Linked DNA regions of Anolis sagrei. The protein of the gene in region 1 purifies or fractionates together with the protein of each later gene. This does not show direct contact. Links are inferred from orthologs where the notes say so. Each region holds a gene or a part of one and is shown on either strand. Other genes may lie near its edges.

Evidence for each region. Proteins that work in one complex are often made in the same cells at the same time.
Region 2: the proteins of KLHL6 (region 1) and NUDCD3 purify together in Homo sapiens (affinity purification with mass spectrometry; 3 studies listed by BioGRID and IntAct, counting the BioPlex papers as one, with this or other methods). This does not show direct contact. The link is inferred for Anolis sagrei from reciprocal best matches to the Homo sapiens genes KLHL6 and NUDCD3.

What each region holds. Positions count from the first base shown.
Region 1 is NC_090023.1:219,354,961-219,362,573, forward strand, and holds the start of KLHL6 (kelch-like protein 6), read left to right. Parts: upstream 1-4,133; 5' UTR 4,134-4,206; coding exon 4,207-4,469; intron 4,470-7,613. UniProt on the Homo sapiens protein: Involved in B-lymphocyte antigen receptor signaling and germinal center formation.
Region 2 is NC_090027.1:15,421,708-15,430,076, reverse strand, and holds the start of NUDCD3 (nudC domain-containing protein 3), read right to left. Parts: upstream 3,314-8,369; 5' UTR 3,183-3,313; coding exon 2,985-3,182; intron 1-2,984. Other genes in the region: PGAM2 (phosphoglycerate mutase 2), read right to left, coding at 5,663-5,832.

The DNA.
Region 1 (7,613 bases):
GAACTACGTCACAGAAGCTTTTGACCCCAAGACATCATAAAAATGACTCAGCCATTGAAATGACCGCAACATAGAGCATAACAGGTCTTTTTTTTTTCTTGCTGGTGTTAATCAAGGATGCATAGCATTCATTGTGCTATATTTACTCTTACCTGGCTGGCAAATAGGGCTTGGAAACCAAAGCTTTCAGAATCCCAAAGCAAGCATGGGCCATGGCTATCTAAGGAATGGTGTGTGTGTGGGGGGGGGGGGGGGGGAGGTGTTATAATTCCAAAAGTAAGTTTTCCAAACTCTGCTGTCAATTGTCTCAGGGTACATCTACACTATAGAATTAATTCAAACTGACACCACTTTTAACTTCCACAGCTCAAGCCTATGGAATCATGTAGTTTTACACGGGCTTTAACATTCTCTGCCAAAGACTGCTGGTGCCTCGCCAAACTACAACTCTCAGGATTCCATAGGATTGAGCCATGGAAGTTAAAAGTAGGGTCAAACTGCATTCATTCTAGTGTAGATGCACCCCACATTCCATCTGGATAGACATCAGCCCTAGCCAAGACTTTCTGACTCCCAGTCTCACCAAACGATTAACTCCTATGATTCCACAATATTGTCAGACTTTTCCCCAACGTGCTAGAACTCCCAATTGATCCAATGAGACACACACAGGTTGAAGGCGGGAACAGAAATCCATATATTCAGCAATGGTCAGAACGGACATTGGGGGATAGCAATTCCCAAATCTAGCACATTTTCCAACTGTAAATGTGGGCATTATAAAGAGAATTATACACATTTGGTAATGTGACAAACAAAGACGATAGGCGCAGTTCCAGGATCCACAGTTTTATTAGGTGAAATGTCCATTATTGGCCACTGATTGGCTGAGTCTGTGAATCTTAGCTGCTGATTGGGCGAGGAATTTTAATAAACTGTCATTGAATGTATTTTAAACTGCTGTCCGTTTGTGTCCACCTGAAGTTGGGAAGGAATATGGGCTGGGTTCAGGGAACAAGAGGTAGCTGATGGGCTTCTCCTAGTGATATAGGTTCCAGGAGATTTCCAGATGTTTGTCAGTAGCCATTTTAGTGTTCTGATGGGTCATGAGATCAACCTTTTGTCCTAAAGGGTGATGTGTACAACTTAATGGACTGATTGTTTAAGTCATACTTGGGTCTTTGGTGAGCTGGGGAAGCCAGGCTGGGTGCCACTCCTTGCCTGTTGTGTAGGTGTGAGTCGGAAGACGTGTGATGCTTGTGTACCCTTAACTTATGGATGGAAAAGCAGGTTTAGTATGATTTTCCAAAAATTTCCAGAGATGCAACCAGGAAACCGCTCCAGGTGATTTATCCAGGCAACTAGGGCTCCTCCTATTTTGAGGGGCTTTTTTCAGTAACAACAGCATTGAGCCATTGAAGTTAATTTGATGGCAAACTGCATTCATTCTACAACAGGGGTCCTCAAACTAAGGCCTGGGGGCCGGATGCGGCCCTCCAAGGTCATTTACCCGGCCCTCGCTCAGGGTCAACCTAAGTCTGAAATGACTTGAAAGCACACAACAACAACAACAATCCTATCCCATCAGCCAGAAGCAGGCCCACATTTCCCATTGAAATACGAATAAGTTTATATTTGTTAACATTTTAATTATTGAATTGTTTTAAAGTGTTTTTTTCACTACAAATAAGATATGTGCAGCGTGCATAGGAATTCATTCATTTTTTTTTCAAATAATAATCCGGCCCTCCAACAGTTTGTGGGCCTGTGACTTGGCCCTCTGTTTAAAAAGTTTGTGGACCCCTGTTCTACAACATAGATGCACTATTTGGCCTTTTTAGAAAAGCATGACCTTTTAGAAATCATAACCTTTTAGAGAAGTGCCAAAAACCCATTTGAGTAGAATCTTCTCAAGTGATATACAACCAAATATAAATATGCAAGGCAATTGGCTTCAGTTGTTAGACTGAATAACCTATTGTCTCTGATATGTGGAAACACAGAATATGCCAGTGCAGAAAAATTGTAGTTCTTCAGAAGTATTTTTCAGTGCCCAAAATATATATGTACTCTCCCATAAAACAACTTGTTTTATATTATGCACTCATGAGACAAAATAAAGTTGACTTTGGTAAAAAAAATAATAATGGTTTTACTCACAACCTTCATGTGTTCAGCATACACAGGTACACAACCTATTAATTAGCTACAGATATGTTTGAGATAGTTTCTGTGCCATCTGGTCAGAAAATCTTTTATAATAAACAGCAGACAAGTGTTTGCAAGTCTGCAATCTGAGCAGTCCCAAAGTCTAAAGAAGTCTATACTCTGTGCTTGTCCCAGAGAGGATCATGTGGTCTGCAGCCCCTCCCATAACTTCTCATGAAAACATAGAGCAAGGAAAGAAAGCTGCATACCAAAACATACAATAAGTAAGCAACAGGATTGTAGATAAACAAATTACTAGAGGAGGCTTGAAGAAGGTTGTAATTTCCAACATTACAGAAAATTAGGGCAACAACAACAATAATATCTTGGATCCATCCACACATAGGGTGCTTCTTCCAAATGATAGTTCTGTTGTGTTGCGGTCCTACCTCACAGACATGAAAAGGGGTCCTGATGATGACATTGTTTTGTAACATTACTATATTTTCCCATAGCATCTTCTCTCTTTTTTTCATAGTGGAGAAAATCATTTAAGGAGAAGGTGAAATCGACGTGGAATATCTTTTGACTGGTAGCAGAGCCACCTAAGAGGAGATATGAGACTATTCTGCTGTGCCTGCTGACCGCTTATACTTTACATGGAGAACACTGTCATTTTACAATGAGAAGTCTGAAGTAAATCCAGTTGTTAAAGCTTTATAACACCACTCCTTTAGGCTACATTATTCTGTTTGAAATCCACTCCAGTCAGTCTAATGAGGGTAGCTGATGGTTGGTCCTTTCAAACACACCCTGTCCACATTTGCACATTTATTCATCCTTATTATTGACTTGAATATAAATTCCTATACCCAATCCTTATTCTTAACCATCCTGTATTCTGTATATTTTTCCATTTTTAATTAAACCTAGCTGCCATTCCACAGTTGTGGGTTTGACTTTATTTATGGGTTTGATTAAAACATTATCTCTAGGAATCTCTAGGTCTTCTAGTGAAATTATATGATCAGGTTCCAGTGGAAATTTATCATAGTGTCATGCTGGAGGACCTAGAAATTCCTAGGGTCACTTGGGCAGCAGCATTTTTTTAATTCATGATTTTCACTTTTGCGAGGTTATTGTGCCTCTAACCCCAGCAAATGTGGAGGGCTGACTATGGGTAGAATTGGCTGTTTGCAAGGACGTTGCCCAGGGGAGGCCTGGATGTTTGATGTTTTTACAATCCTTGTGAGAGGCTTCTCTCATGTCACCGTATGGAGCTGGAACTGACATAAGGAGCTCAACCTGCTCTCCCCAGATTTAAAATGCTGACCTATTGGTCAGCAATCCTGCCGATACAAAGGTTAACCCATTGCGCCACTGTAGGTATCAGTCAAAACAATATGACTGATACCTACAGACTGATGGATGGTAAAGAACAATCCCCCTCACCGTGCTAAGACAATACCTATCAGCAATTAAGACAATCAAATACACAATTAAATTTTATTCTGTTCCTTCCATAGAAATGTGCCCAGGATGGTTGTTGAAAGGTCTTAATATGACCAATGAACAGCTTTATCGTGCTGGTCAAGTACCGTATTTCTTCAGTTCTAAGCCACACTTTTTATCTATATAAACATGGGGTGTGTCTTGGAATTGCAGGCACATCTTAAGTATTTTTGTTGGTGGTGTTACTGATATTAGTGTGTATCTTAGAATTGAAGAAATACAGTATATCTGGATAAACTTAAGACCTTGTAGAAACTGAACAATTTTAACACTGCTCTCAGATATGAACTGAAATCTTCCGATATTCAAGGATGTCTTAAAAGCTTGCAGGTTTAAAACAACAACAACAACCCAACGGCCTTTCTTTGTACGGACAGGATGAGAAAGTGCAAGGCTTCCTGTTATGTGTGTGTGACAGCTGTAGATAAGTGGGGAGGCCCAAACAGGAAATCTGCCTTACTTCTGCAGCGTGACTTGTCTGAAGCTCAGGAACCATCTTAGATCGAAGCATCAATGGCGTGATGTGCTGTTGTTGCTGATCCAAACATGGGAGACATGGTAAAGGAGAACCTCGAGGAGGAACCTCCGTTGCCTTTGGAAAATGAGGGCTCCAAGACCAGGGGAGAGCTTGTGGAAGTCTCCATCAATGAAAGGGTTAAATTCGATGACACAGGCTTGTCCATGGTCCTGCAGAACGGCTTGGAGAACCTCCGACTAGAAAACTCTCTCACCGATGTCACCTTGTGTGTGGGCAGCATGAGCTTTTCATGTCACCGTGTGGTCCTTGCAGCAGCAAGCAATTACTTTAGGTAAGAGATGCTGAAAATTAACTACGTTTGTGTATTGGGATGTAAAAAGGCAAGTGATGAGACAGGTAAGCATTTTTTTCAACACTTGCTTATATCCTACCTGTACTCTATCCGTTTTCTGAAAAGGTATCCATGCTTTGGTAGTGTGTTAGAAGAAGATGGTAACCAAATGTTATGACTGTTTAAACTTCCGTTTTTAGGGATACAGGAAAACAAATAGTAAGAATACTAGGTTGCTTTTCTTTTTGTCAGTGGACGCTCATTGGTATTTCTTCTTTCTAACTGTAGAAGTCAGTCAAATAAGAAAGCAGTTGGAAAGTAAGGGAAAAAGTGTTTAGTCTCCCATCTTGTGCGGATCCAAGGAGAAAAAGGATCAGATAATTAAAAAATAATAATCCCTTCTGATTATAGTAATAATTGGGCTAATGCTGTAGGGTCTATGAAGTTGAAGACGGAAACATTGTTTATATATTTGGATGTGAAAATGAAATATGCTAAACTGTTCTAGGTATCACTGTGAACTTTTATAGGTAAGTTGTTTCTATGCTCCGCAGCAAACATCTCTATGAACGTTTGTGCAGTTATATACCTGATTATGAAAATTAGCACTATACTAAACAGACATTGATCGTTCCATACTATCCTCTCTTCCTTTCTAGTTAAGTGCCTTATAACATCTTACATCCTCCCACTGTTGAGCAGCCAAGTGTTGCAAGAATCCTGCACTGAAGAAGAGGTTAGATTAGATAATCTCCAAATTAGTTTCAGCAATAACCTATGATTTTAACATATCAGAAGTCAGAGAGATAGCCTTTTGTATGGTATCTTAAACAGTCAATCTTCATAAGTATAGATGAGGATCAGCCATACAGTGGCCAAATGCTGGATGGGACTGATTCATGGTAACATGGGGCAAAGCCATTTTAACACAGTCTTGTCCCATGCTACCCAAAATTATCCTCAATTTAGGCTTAACGCGGTTTAGGGCTAGTGAGGACAGTTGGCCCGTTCTCAAACAGAACCAGCCAAAACTGCCCCCACTGCTATCCTGTGTTTTCGAAGCTCAGGCAGCTATGGGAATCCTTTGGGGACACTTATTGGAGCTGATACAGCATGCCAACCCCAGAATACATGTCAGTGTAGATGTGCTCCAAGTCTACCCAAGGAACAGGCATGTAGCCAGGGGGGGGGGGCCTCGGGGGGCTTCAGCCCCCCCCCCCCCAAATTCTCATGGTGGTTCGCGAAAAGGCCTTACTGGTGCATTATTTAAACTGTTATGTTTATTTATATCATGATCTGATTACCATACTCAATATATCCCATATGCATGGGGGTATTGGGGTAATAATACAAAAGGTTTGCTAGGCTAGACCCTCTTTCACTCAGACTCAGCCCCCACCGAAACTCAGCCCCCCCAACCCCCCCTGAAAAAAATTCAGCCCCCCCCCCCCCGAAACAAAATCCTGGCTACGGGCCTGCCAAGGAAGTCCAAATTAATTAAGATTTTGACTGCTGCTGCTAGCATATGATTTTGCTACTGCACTGTAAAGGCAAAGGTAAAGGTTTCCCCTTCACATTAAGTCTAGTCGAGTCTGACACTGGGGGGTGGTGCTCATCTCCATTTCTAAGCCGAAGAGCCAGCATTGTCCTTAGACACCTCCAAGGTCATGTGGCTGGCATGACTGCATGGAGTGCCGTTATCTTCCCACCAGAACAATACCTATTGATCAACTCACATATGCATGTTTTTGAACTGCTAGTTTGACAGAAGCTGGGCTTAACAGCGGGAGCTCACTCTGCTCCCTGGATTCAAACTGCCAACCTTTTGGTCAGCAAGTTCAGCAGCTCAGCAGTTTAGTCCACTGCTCCACCAGTATGCATATCTCTGTATTTTTTAAATTTTAATGGTAATATCCCAATGCTTGTTTCTCATATATGACATTCAGATATTCATTTACTGAATGCTGATAGGTTTCATGACCTATTGGTCAAAGGATGACATCAATGACAACACCATTCTAGCTGGGTAACTTCTAACTTGGTTTTATTATTCTTCCTATTTTCCTTTGAAGATAAGTTTTTAAAGAGGTATTTGTTAAGGGTAAACATTACTCTCTTTCCCTCCCCTGTAATTTTTCCTTTTCTTGTGTCTTCCTGATATATCATTTACCCAAGGAAAGGCACAACATCATGCTTAGCTAAATTTCTTGGGCTAAATCCACTATTTATTATGTATTTATTGCAGTTATATACCGTTTTCTTTTACCCCTGGGGGGACTCAAAGTGGTTCCCAATATAATCAATGGCAAAATTCAATACCTTACATGTATAAAATATCACGTATCAAATCAACAGCATATTATAATAGATTAAAACCATTGAAACCATAAAACTATAAACAACAATCACAGACACAATGTAAAACATCTGTTCCAATTAGGGTAGATCAGTTAAAACCTATTGGACTTGATGGACTTGAAGCGCGCTTGGTGGGGACTCGAGACAGGGCCTTTTCTGTGGTGGCCCTCCCGACTCTGGAACACCCTCCCAAAAGATCTTAGACAGGCCCCTTCGCTGGCAGTCTTCAGAAAGAACTTGAAGACCTGGCTGTTCCGATGTGCCTTTTCAGATTAGGGACCCCCAATACCAAGTCCTAGAAGCACTTTAGTAGAACCAAGATCACTGCACACTGCACTTACTTTATAATCCTACATACCTCCTGCCACATCAGCACTTTTAATCTTGTACCCATTTCTCTGGCCTGGCCCAGTCTTATAGTGTCTTGATGTCTCGATGTATTGTTATTGCTGTTGTTTATTCTGCTTAACTGTTTTTAATTTGCTTTAGGTATTGTATTGTTGTATTGTGTTTTGAGGCCTTGGCCTATGTAAGCCGCATTGAGTCCTTCGGGAGATGCTAGCGGGGTACAAATAAAGTTATAATAATAATAATGATGATCTGTGACATAAAATTTCCAGTCTTTCCAGTAAGTTTAGTCATATTTTTTAGTCCATTGTAGCTGTACTAGGTACAAAGGAGAAAAGTTTGAAAGTTGTTGCTGATTATTTATTTTCATGAGTGCACATATGGGTTTATGTGAACAGGTGCTATTTAATATTACTCTCGTTGTAAATATATTAACTG
Region 2 (8,369 bases), on another chromosome or scaffold:
CGTTGTATGTTTATTTTGTGGCACGGTTCACAGGACGAACTCAGTGCCACAAAATAAACATACAACAAAATATAAAAAGTTAAATTAATAACAATAATATTAACCCCATTACACATTTAAAAAAACAATAAAACCCCTATCAATTAAAAATACTAAAAGAACCAACAAGATATAAAATAGAGGCTATGAGCAATATTCATTCTCATAAAGCGCAACAATGATCACTCACTAAGTTTAAAAGTATAGTGATTCATAATCCCTAAACATGGTCAAACGCTTGTATTACGAGTGGCTTTCAAAGCTAAGTACTAATTGATTTAATTCATATCCACCTTTATTCCATAATGGCTTCAAAAATGGGCAGTTAAGATATTTATCATACAATCTAAAAACAATTGTTGGCAGAAGCTGGGGCTAACAGGGTAGTGGGTGTATAAACAATACATGTTATTAATAAACACATTACAGCTAACAGCAGGAGCTCACCCCACTCCCAGGATTCAACCCGCCAACCTTTTGGTCAGCAAGTTCAGCAGCTCAGCAGTTTAACTTGCTGCGCCACAAGGGGGCCAAAGTTGATAATAATAACAAAAAGAAATACAATGTGATCCAGGAATAAGACCATTTTCTCAGCTTTTACTACCTGACAGCGTTGACAGGGGGAATAATTATATCAGGTATGGGCAAACTTGGGTCCTCTAGGTGTTTTGGGCTTCAAGCCCCATCATTCCTAAACTGTGGGAGATGAAGTCCAAAACACCTGGCGGTAGGGAGGGCTGAAGTTCGCACATGCCAGAAGTATATTCCTAAGTATATTCCTTTACCATTGCCACCTTTTCCTGCTACCATGCTGTGGCCTTACCACTAGCTATCCATAGCCTGAATTTTACCAACCAGCCCCCCTTTGACCATCAACTTAGTACTGAAACTGGGCTTGGCTTGGTTTGAGGCCACTGACTTCTCTGCCTACACTCATCTTTCGACTCTGTTCCTCCTGGGCTTGAGTGGGGACTTTTGTTTTTGTTTTGTTTTCAGATTTTATTTTATTTACTAGCTGTACCCACCACGCCTTGCTGTGGCCAACTTTCTTCTCTCTCCTTCCTTCCTTCCTTCCCTTTTTACCTTTCATTCCTTCCTTCATTCTCTTCCTCTTCCCTTCCCCCCTTTTCTTTCCCTTCCTCTTTCTCCCCTTTCTTCCTTCTCTACCTATTCTTGGACTGCAACTCCCAGCAGTCCTCCTGATCGATCTACCTACCTTCCTATATAAATCTATCTAATCTGGGAGTTTCAGTCCAGGAATAGGAAATTGGAAATACGCAGCAATTGGGATGCTCTCAAAGATCTCAAAGGAGAATAAATCTTGCAGCTTGAAAGCAGTACATTTAGATCATCCTCTTCTCCTAAAGGGCCTGGTCTAGGGGATGCTGGGAGCTGTAGTCTGGAAGAGAGTGTGGATTTGCTATTGTGTGTTTTATTTGCCAGGGGAGTCATTTTTGTGCAACCGCTATAGCATCTTTTTGGTTTTTGGGCCTTTTAAAGTCCCTTCCGCTGTGTTTTTCAGTGTTTTTATGAGTGATGGTCACTTGTTGGCCTGATAGGTGTATTGTGTCCAAATTTGATGTCAATTTGTCCAATGGTTTTTGAGTTATGTTAAGCTCACAAATGAACATTACATTTTTATTTATATAGATTTTATTTTATGGAGACTTTTCTTAATTTTCTCACTGGCTCATGTTTATCACTGATGAGTGAAGTTAGCAAATATTTGTAATTGGTTTTAAATATTTTTAATGCTTAATATTTATTATAATTTATTTCTGAATGTTATTATGCCTTGTGTGGTTTTGGTCTTGTATTTTATGTCCATTGTGCTTTGATTTGTATTGTATTCTATTTATACACTGTGTATTTGCAATGAGGCACTGAAGTGGCCAAACTGTATGCCGCTCTGAGTCCCCTTCGGGGTGAGAAAAACAGAGTAGAAATATAGTAAACTAGCTGTCCCCTGCCACGCGTTGTCGTGGCCCAGTCTGGCGATCCGGAAAATAAAGTAATGAGGAAGTGTTGGTTTCGAATAAATGTAATTTCTTTATGCTTGTGGGTAAACAGTATTTTTTGCTGTTTCTTTGTCAGTGTTGATGCGGAGAGTGTCTGGTTTGCCTACTCTGGAACATGCAACGTATCATTGTCCTTCTTCAGGGGTCCCTTTCAAATCTATGATACTATATCTCTCTGTGTGTGAACCATATCTATCTATCTATATCTATGGCTGGATGGTTCTTTGTCAGGAGGGTTTTGATTACTTTTACTTGAGTTGCACCGTATAGCCCTAAGTATTTTCTGTTGGTCATGGGGGTTTGGTGTGCAAAGTTTGCCCCGATTGTGTCATTAGTGGGGTTCAGAATGCTCTTTGATTGTAGGTGAACTATAAATCCCAGTAACTACAACCCCCAATGTCAAGGTCTATTTCCCCCAAACGCCATCTGTGTTCATATTTGGGTGCATTGAGTGCTTGTGCCAAGTTTGGTTCAGATCCATCATTGTTTGAGTCCACAATGCTCTCTGGATGTAGGTGAACTACAACTCTCAAGGTCAATGCCCACCAAACCCTTCCAGTATTTTCTGTTACTCATGGGAGTTTTGTGTGCCAAGCTTGGTTCAATTCCATCGTTGATGGAGTTCAGAATGCTCTTTGATTGTAGATGAACTAAAAATCCCAGCAAGAGCAACTCCCAAAGGACAAAATCATGATTTTTTGAGTGATGGTCACTCCTTGTGTTTTGAGACGTTTTGTTGCCAAATGTGGTGTGATTTCGTTCATTGGTTCTTTTGTTTTTAAGGTACTCATTATGCACAGAGCATTTAGATAGATAGATAGATAGATAGATAGATAGATAGATAGACAGACAGACAGCTTGATTGGTAAAATATGATAAATAAGCAAAGGCTGGGTTTGGCAGGGCCTTGGGCCGAAGGAGACTCACCCGGAGGGCCATGCTCCTCGCCACCCCGGGAGGGAAGCCCAGCCGGTCCTCGGGCTGGCGGAGGAGGCGGTAGAAGTCCGTCTTGCGGTACAAGAAGCCGAAGAGGATGTTCAGGAAGCCCTGGACGTCGCCCACGTGCTGCAGGATGCCCAGCAAGGCCTGGTCGTACATGTCCGTCATGGCGCCGGCGCGCTCCATGGCCCCCTCGGGAGAAGGCGAGGCTCCCCGCCGGACAGCCCCGGCCTCTGCACCGGAAGAAGGCCCCACGCCCGCCCCTCCTCCCTCCCGCTGCCACGGTAACCTCGGCTCTGCGGCGCCGACGGAGCACTTCCGGCCCCGCGTCCGCTGGGAAAAGACGTCCGGAGTGACTTCCGCTCGAGCCAACCGATGGAATGGTTCCGCTCAAAGAAAAGTGGAAAGTGTAGAGTTGCAGTGGTTGAACTCATGGGCGTCAGGCTGATTTCCATCGAGGACTCCATCAGCCTCACGATTACCTTCAAAGGGCCGTTGAATTCATGGAGGGAGAATCCCTGGATACAAAGGGACAACTATATAGTAACAACTATATATATATAGAGCCAGGAGGACGTTGCCATCTTGTCCCCTGTGACATCGGCGCCCCTCCCCCAGCACCAACGGCCACTCTGGGGCCAGAATTGTTTTTATACTATGTCTTGAATTTTGTTGTTCCTATGTTGTACACCCCTGTGAGTCGCCTCTGGGCTGAGAACAGCGGTATATAAGCAAAGTATATATATATATATATATATATATATATATATGCACTGTATATATATATATACTGTGTATGTTTTATATACACACATACATACATGTGTGAGATATATATATATATCTCATACACACACATATATACACACACTATATATACACTAACACGTACATATATATATACACACACACATATATACACACACATACACGTATGTTTTTATTACCCTTACTTGGAAGACGCCTATGCGTGAATTTTTTTAACGCGTGGAGGTCATTGCACACTGATCAACACATAGTCTTCACAGAGTGAGGTTCCTTGGGTGGCATAGTTTACCAACATGACCGTGGCTTCTCAATCTTTTGCAGCCTTCTTCTGCCTTCACAGCCGTTGTAACATGTACATGTACAATGTCATCCTCCTTACTTGGATTTACTTTTAATTGGCATGTTTAATTTATTGTTTAATGAATTGTATGTGTTTCTAATTATTCTTAATGTTTTAAATGTAATTTTTAATTGTTTATATGCTGATAGCATTATATGATGCTTGAGTGAGGTCGGGGGGGGGGGGGAAGGGCAGGGTAGAAATGCATACACACACACACACATATATATATATGGCACCCCGGTGGCACAGTCGGTTAAAACGCTGAGCTGCTGAGCTTGTTGACTGAAAGGTCGCAGGTTTGATTCTGGGGAGCGGCATGAGCAGTTCGAAAACATGCAAATGTGAGTAGATCAATAGATACCGCTCCGGTGGGAAGGTAACAGTGTTCCATGCAATCACGCCGGCCACATGACCTTGAAGATGTATATGGACAACGCCGGATCTTCGGTGTAGAAATAGAGATGAGCACCACACCCCAGAGTCGGACACGACTGGACTTAATGTCAGGAGAAAACCTTTACCTTTTACCCTATATACACTATATATATATACACACGAACACATACATATATATACACATATACCATATACACATACATACATGTATACACACACATATATATATACAGACAAACATATATACATATACACGCACACATATACATCAGGTATGGGCAAACTTGGGCCCTCCAGGTGTTTTGGACTCCAACTCAGTGGCTGAGGGGGGAAAGGAAAGGGCCTGAGGCTGCTAGGTATTGTGGGCATTGGGAGTCCAAAACACCTGGAGGGCCCAAGTTTGCCCATGCCTGGTCTAGGCCTCCTTTTGGAGTCTGCCCGGATAATCGAACAGCACCTTTATGGACATACATTGTGGTTGGTGCGCTTTAGCTTTTGCCCAATTTGGATCCACAGGTGTTATTGAATGACACTTCCCATTGCTTTGGATTATTTGCCGTGCTGACTAGGGATAATGGGAATTGCAATCTCGCAGCCATTGTGGCTCTGAGATTGGGAAAGTTGAAATTACATTTTAAGGTAATGAGTCCTTTCCCCAAGCCTTGCATCCACTTTCAAACCTCATTCCCCGATTAAATAGAATAAACTATAGCCTTCCAGGTGTTGCTATATCACAACTCCCATCCGCTTTTGTCATATTTAAAAATGGGGACTGCAGGAGCACTCCTAAAGATGGGGAATATAGGAGCAGTTCTAAATTCTGCAGTGCATTCTATTATTCAATGTATATTTGTACTTTGAATGCAATTTATAAAAATGCCCCCGAACTACCCCATAAAACTGAAGGCAGTTCTTTGGGCACTGAGGACGAACCATGCATGTTTCAAATGAAGCAAGGATGCCATTGATGTTTCTTGCCATGTGCAAACTCAGTTTCCTCAGCTAAGACACATTCTTATTTCTTTCCCACTAATGTACATATAGCATGATGCTATAATCAACATAGCAAAATGTCAGCCACCCCTCTCCCTTGGCTGGACAGATCTCAATCACACAAGTCAGTTTTTCAGATGTTTTATTTCACCAATGCCTTGTCTTCTCACTTCTTGACCTTGCCCTGGGCTGCCACAGCTTCCATGGCCTTCCTCACGGTCTCTTCATCACCCAGGAACTGCATAGGCTTTGTAGGTTTCAGGTTGTCATCCAATTCATACACAATGGGAATCCCAGTCGGGAGGTTGAGTTCCATGATGGCTGCATCAGACATCCCTGAGAAGGGAGGGGTGGGGATAAGACACGTCAAACAAACAATGCCCTGCAGGAGCACCTCCACCTGTTCTCTCTCAAAACCAGATTTTGCAATAAGCTCACAAAATTGACTAGCATGCACTGTTTTTATTAGTGATAGTTTTTTGTGAAATACAAATTAGATCCCGGAAGCCTGAAGTGTACGTACACCTGAAGTGGTTCAGAACTACTGTAAAAATATTAAAGATATGAGATTGGGGCCGGAGGTTTAGCAAAGCTGGTAAATCATCAGCAATTATAAGATCTATCAACCAAAAGGTTATAAGTTCAACCTTTTTGAGTTAGCCTACCTCATTGTTTACCTAAACAATTTGAAAACAGCTTTAGCTGTGATTAGAGAAATTAGGTACCACTAAAAACAGGGGAGGTATTTTACGACACCATAAAGAAAAAAAGATCAGAAAATGCTGGGCAACCAAAAGGAAGGAGGAAGTCCTGACGGCTCTTCGGCATAAGAGGATAGAGGAACAGCACCCCCTGGACTCAAGCCCAACTTTCCATGGCACCTCCTTCTATTCTGTCTGTCTGTGTATTGTCTATACAAAGCGGCATTGAATGTTTGCCACGTATGTGTACTGTGATCCACCCTGAGTCCCCTTTGGGGTGAGAAGGGCAGAATATAAATAAAGTGTTGTTGTTGTTATGTCCTTTCTGTTAAACCAGTGGTTTCAAACCTGTGGGTCCCCAGATGTTTTGGCCTTCAACGCCAAGAAATCCTAACAGCTGATAAACTAGCTGGGATTTCTGGGAGTTGCAGACCAAAACAGCTGGGGATCCACAGGATGAGGACCACTGTGTTAAACCAAAGGAAGTAGTTAATTTTTACACACAGCTTCTGCTGAAGCCCTGCCATTGACCAAGCTAGGTAAAAGTAAAGGTTTCCCCTGACATTAAGTCTAGTCGTGTCTAACTCTGGGGGGGGGGGGGGGGGGTGCTCACCTCCATTTCTAAGCCGAAGAGCCCCTGTTGTCTGTAGACACCTCCAAGGTCATGTGGCCAGCATGACTGCATAGAGCACCGTTACCTTCCTGCACCACGAGATGCATAGCCAACCTTAAGAAATGGGGCTACAAAGTGGAATCCACGACATGCGAGTGTGGAGGAGAGCAAACCACAGACTACCTACTGCAATGCAATTTGAGCACAATGGAGGACCTTCTTGCAGCAACACCAGAGGCACTCCCAAGTGGCCAGCTACTGGTCAAAGATAATTTAGTATAATGCCAAGTGTGCAAACTTTGTGTTTTGTTTGTTTGTTTGTTTTTAATGCAATACAACTGTTTTGGTTTGCTCCTGACACAATAAATAAATAAAATAAATAACCTTCCTGCTGAAGTGTGACCTACTGATCTCCCATTTGTATGTTTTCAACCTGCTAGGTTGGCCAAAGCTGGGGCTAACAACAGGAGCTCACCCCTTTCACAGATTCAACTCCCAACCTTTTGGTCAGCAATGCTTTTGACACTAAATAAATAAATAAATGCATATTGCAAACTTGGTGGGAGGAGATGAAGTCTCGCAGGAAGCCATTAGGCTAGGACATGATGGGAATTGAAGACAAGCAGAAGTGGGTCACCTTGCCTGACCTCTACCGTTTGCTGCCTTTTCTTCCTCTCAAGCCTTCTTGGAATGGCTGTGACCTTTTAGGACAGGCCCATCCACAGAGGTCAGGGAAACAAAATCTCAGGGTGGAGGCAGCCGGGAGAAAGACTACCGCCCGGGCCTGAGAATAAGAAGACAGTTGCCAAGCCTGAGAAGGAGACCTCCCCTGCCGTCCTACCCTTAAATCTTGTAATGCAACTCCAGACTGGAAATAGCAACACAACCTTCAGCAGCCTGCGTGTCAAAGAGCACTGGGCTCTTTTATCAGCTGCTCAGGATTTTGCTTTGACACAGAGCACCCCATGTCGTCTGTCGCACTGCTGCTGACTCCATGTAAATTCACTGTCTGCTTATAGCCATTGATTTTTCACTAGTAAACTAGTCTTTTTATATTTTCACAAGCAAGAACATACTCCCCAGCTCTTCTTGCATATAGGGTTCCCTAATTTGAGTGTGAGCAGACCCTCCTTCTTTAATTCCATCTTAAAACATCTAGCAATACTATAATTTCATCATCATGTTTTTAGTGCAGTGTTTCTAAACCTTCCTAGAGCCATGACCCCTTAATACAGTTCCTCATGTTGTGCTGACCCCCAACCACAATATTATTTCCGTTGCTACTTCGTAACTGTAATTTTGCTACTGTTACGAATCGTCATGTAAATATCTGATATGGAGGATATATGTTCATTCACTGGACCAAATTTGGCACAAATACCCAATACGCCTGAATTTGAATACTGGTGAGGTTGGGGGAGGGATTGATTTTTGTCATTTGGGAGTTGTAGTTGCTGGGATTTATAGTTTGCCTACAATCAAAGAGCATTCTGAACTCAACCAATGATGGAATTGAACCAAACTTGGCTCACAGTACTCCCATGACTAACAGAAAAGAC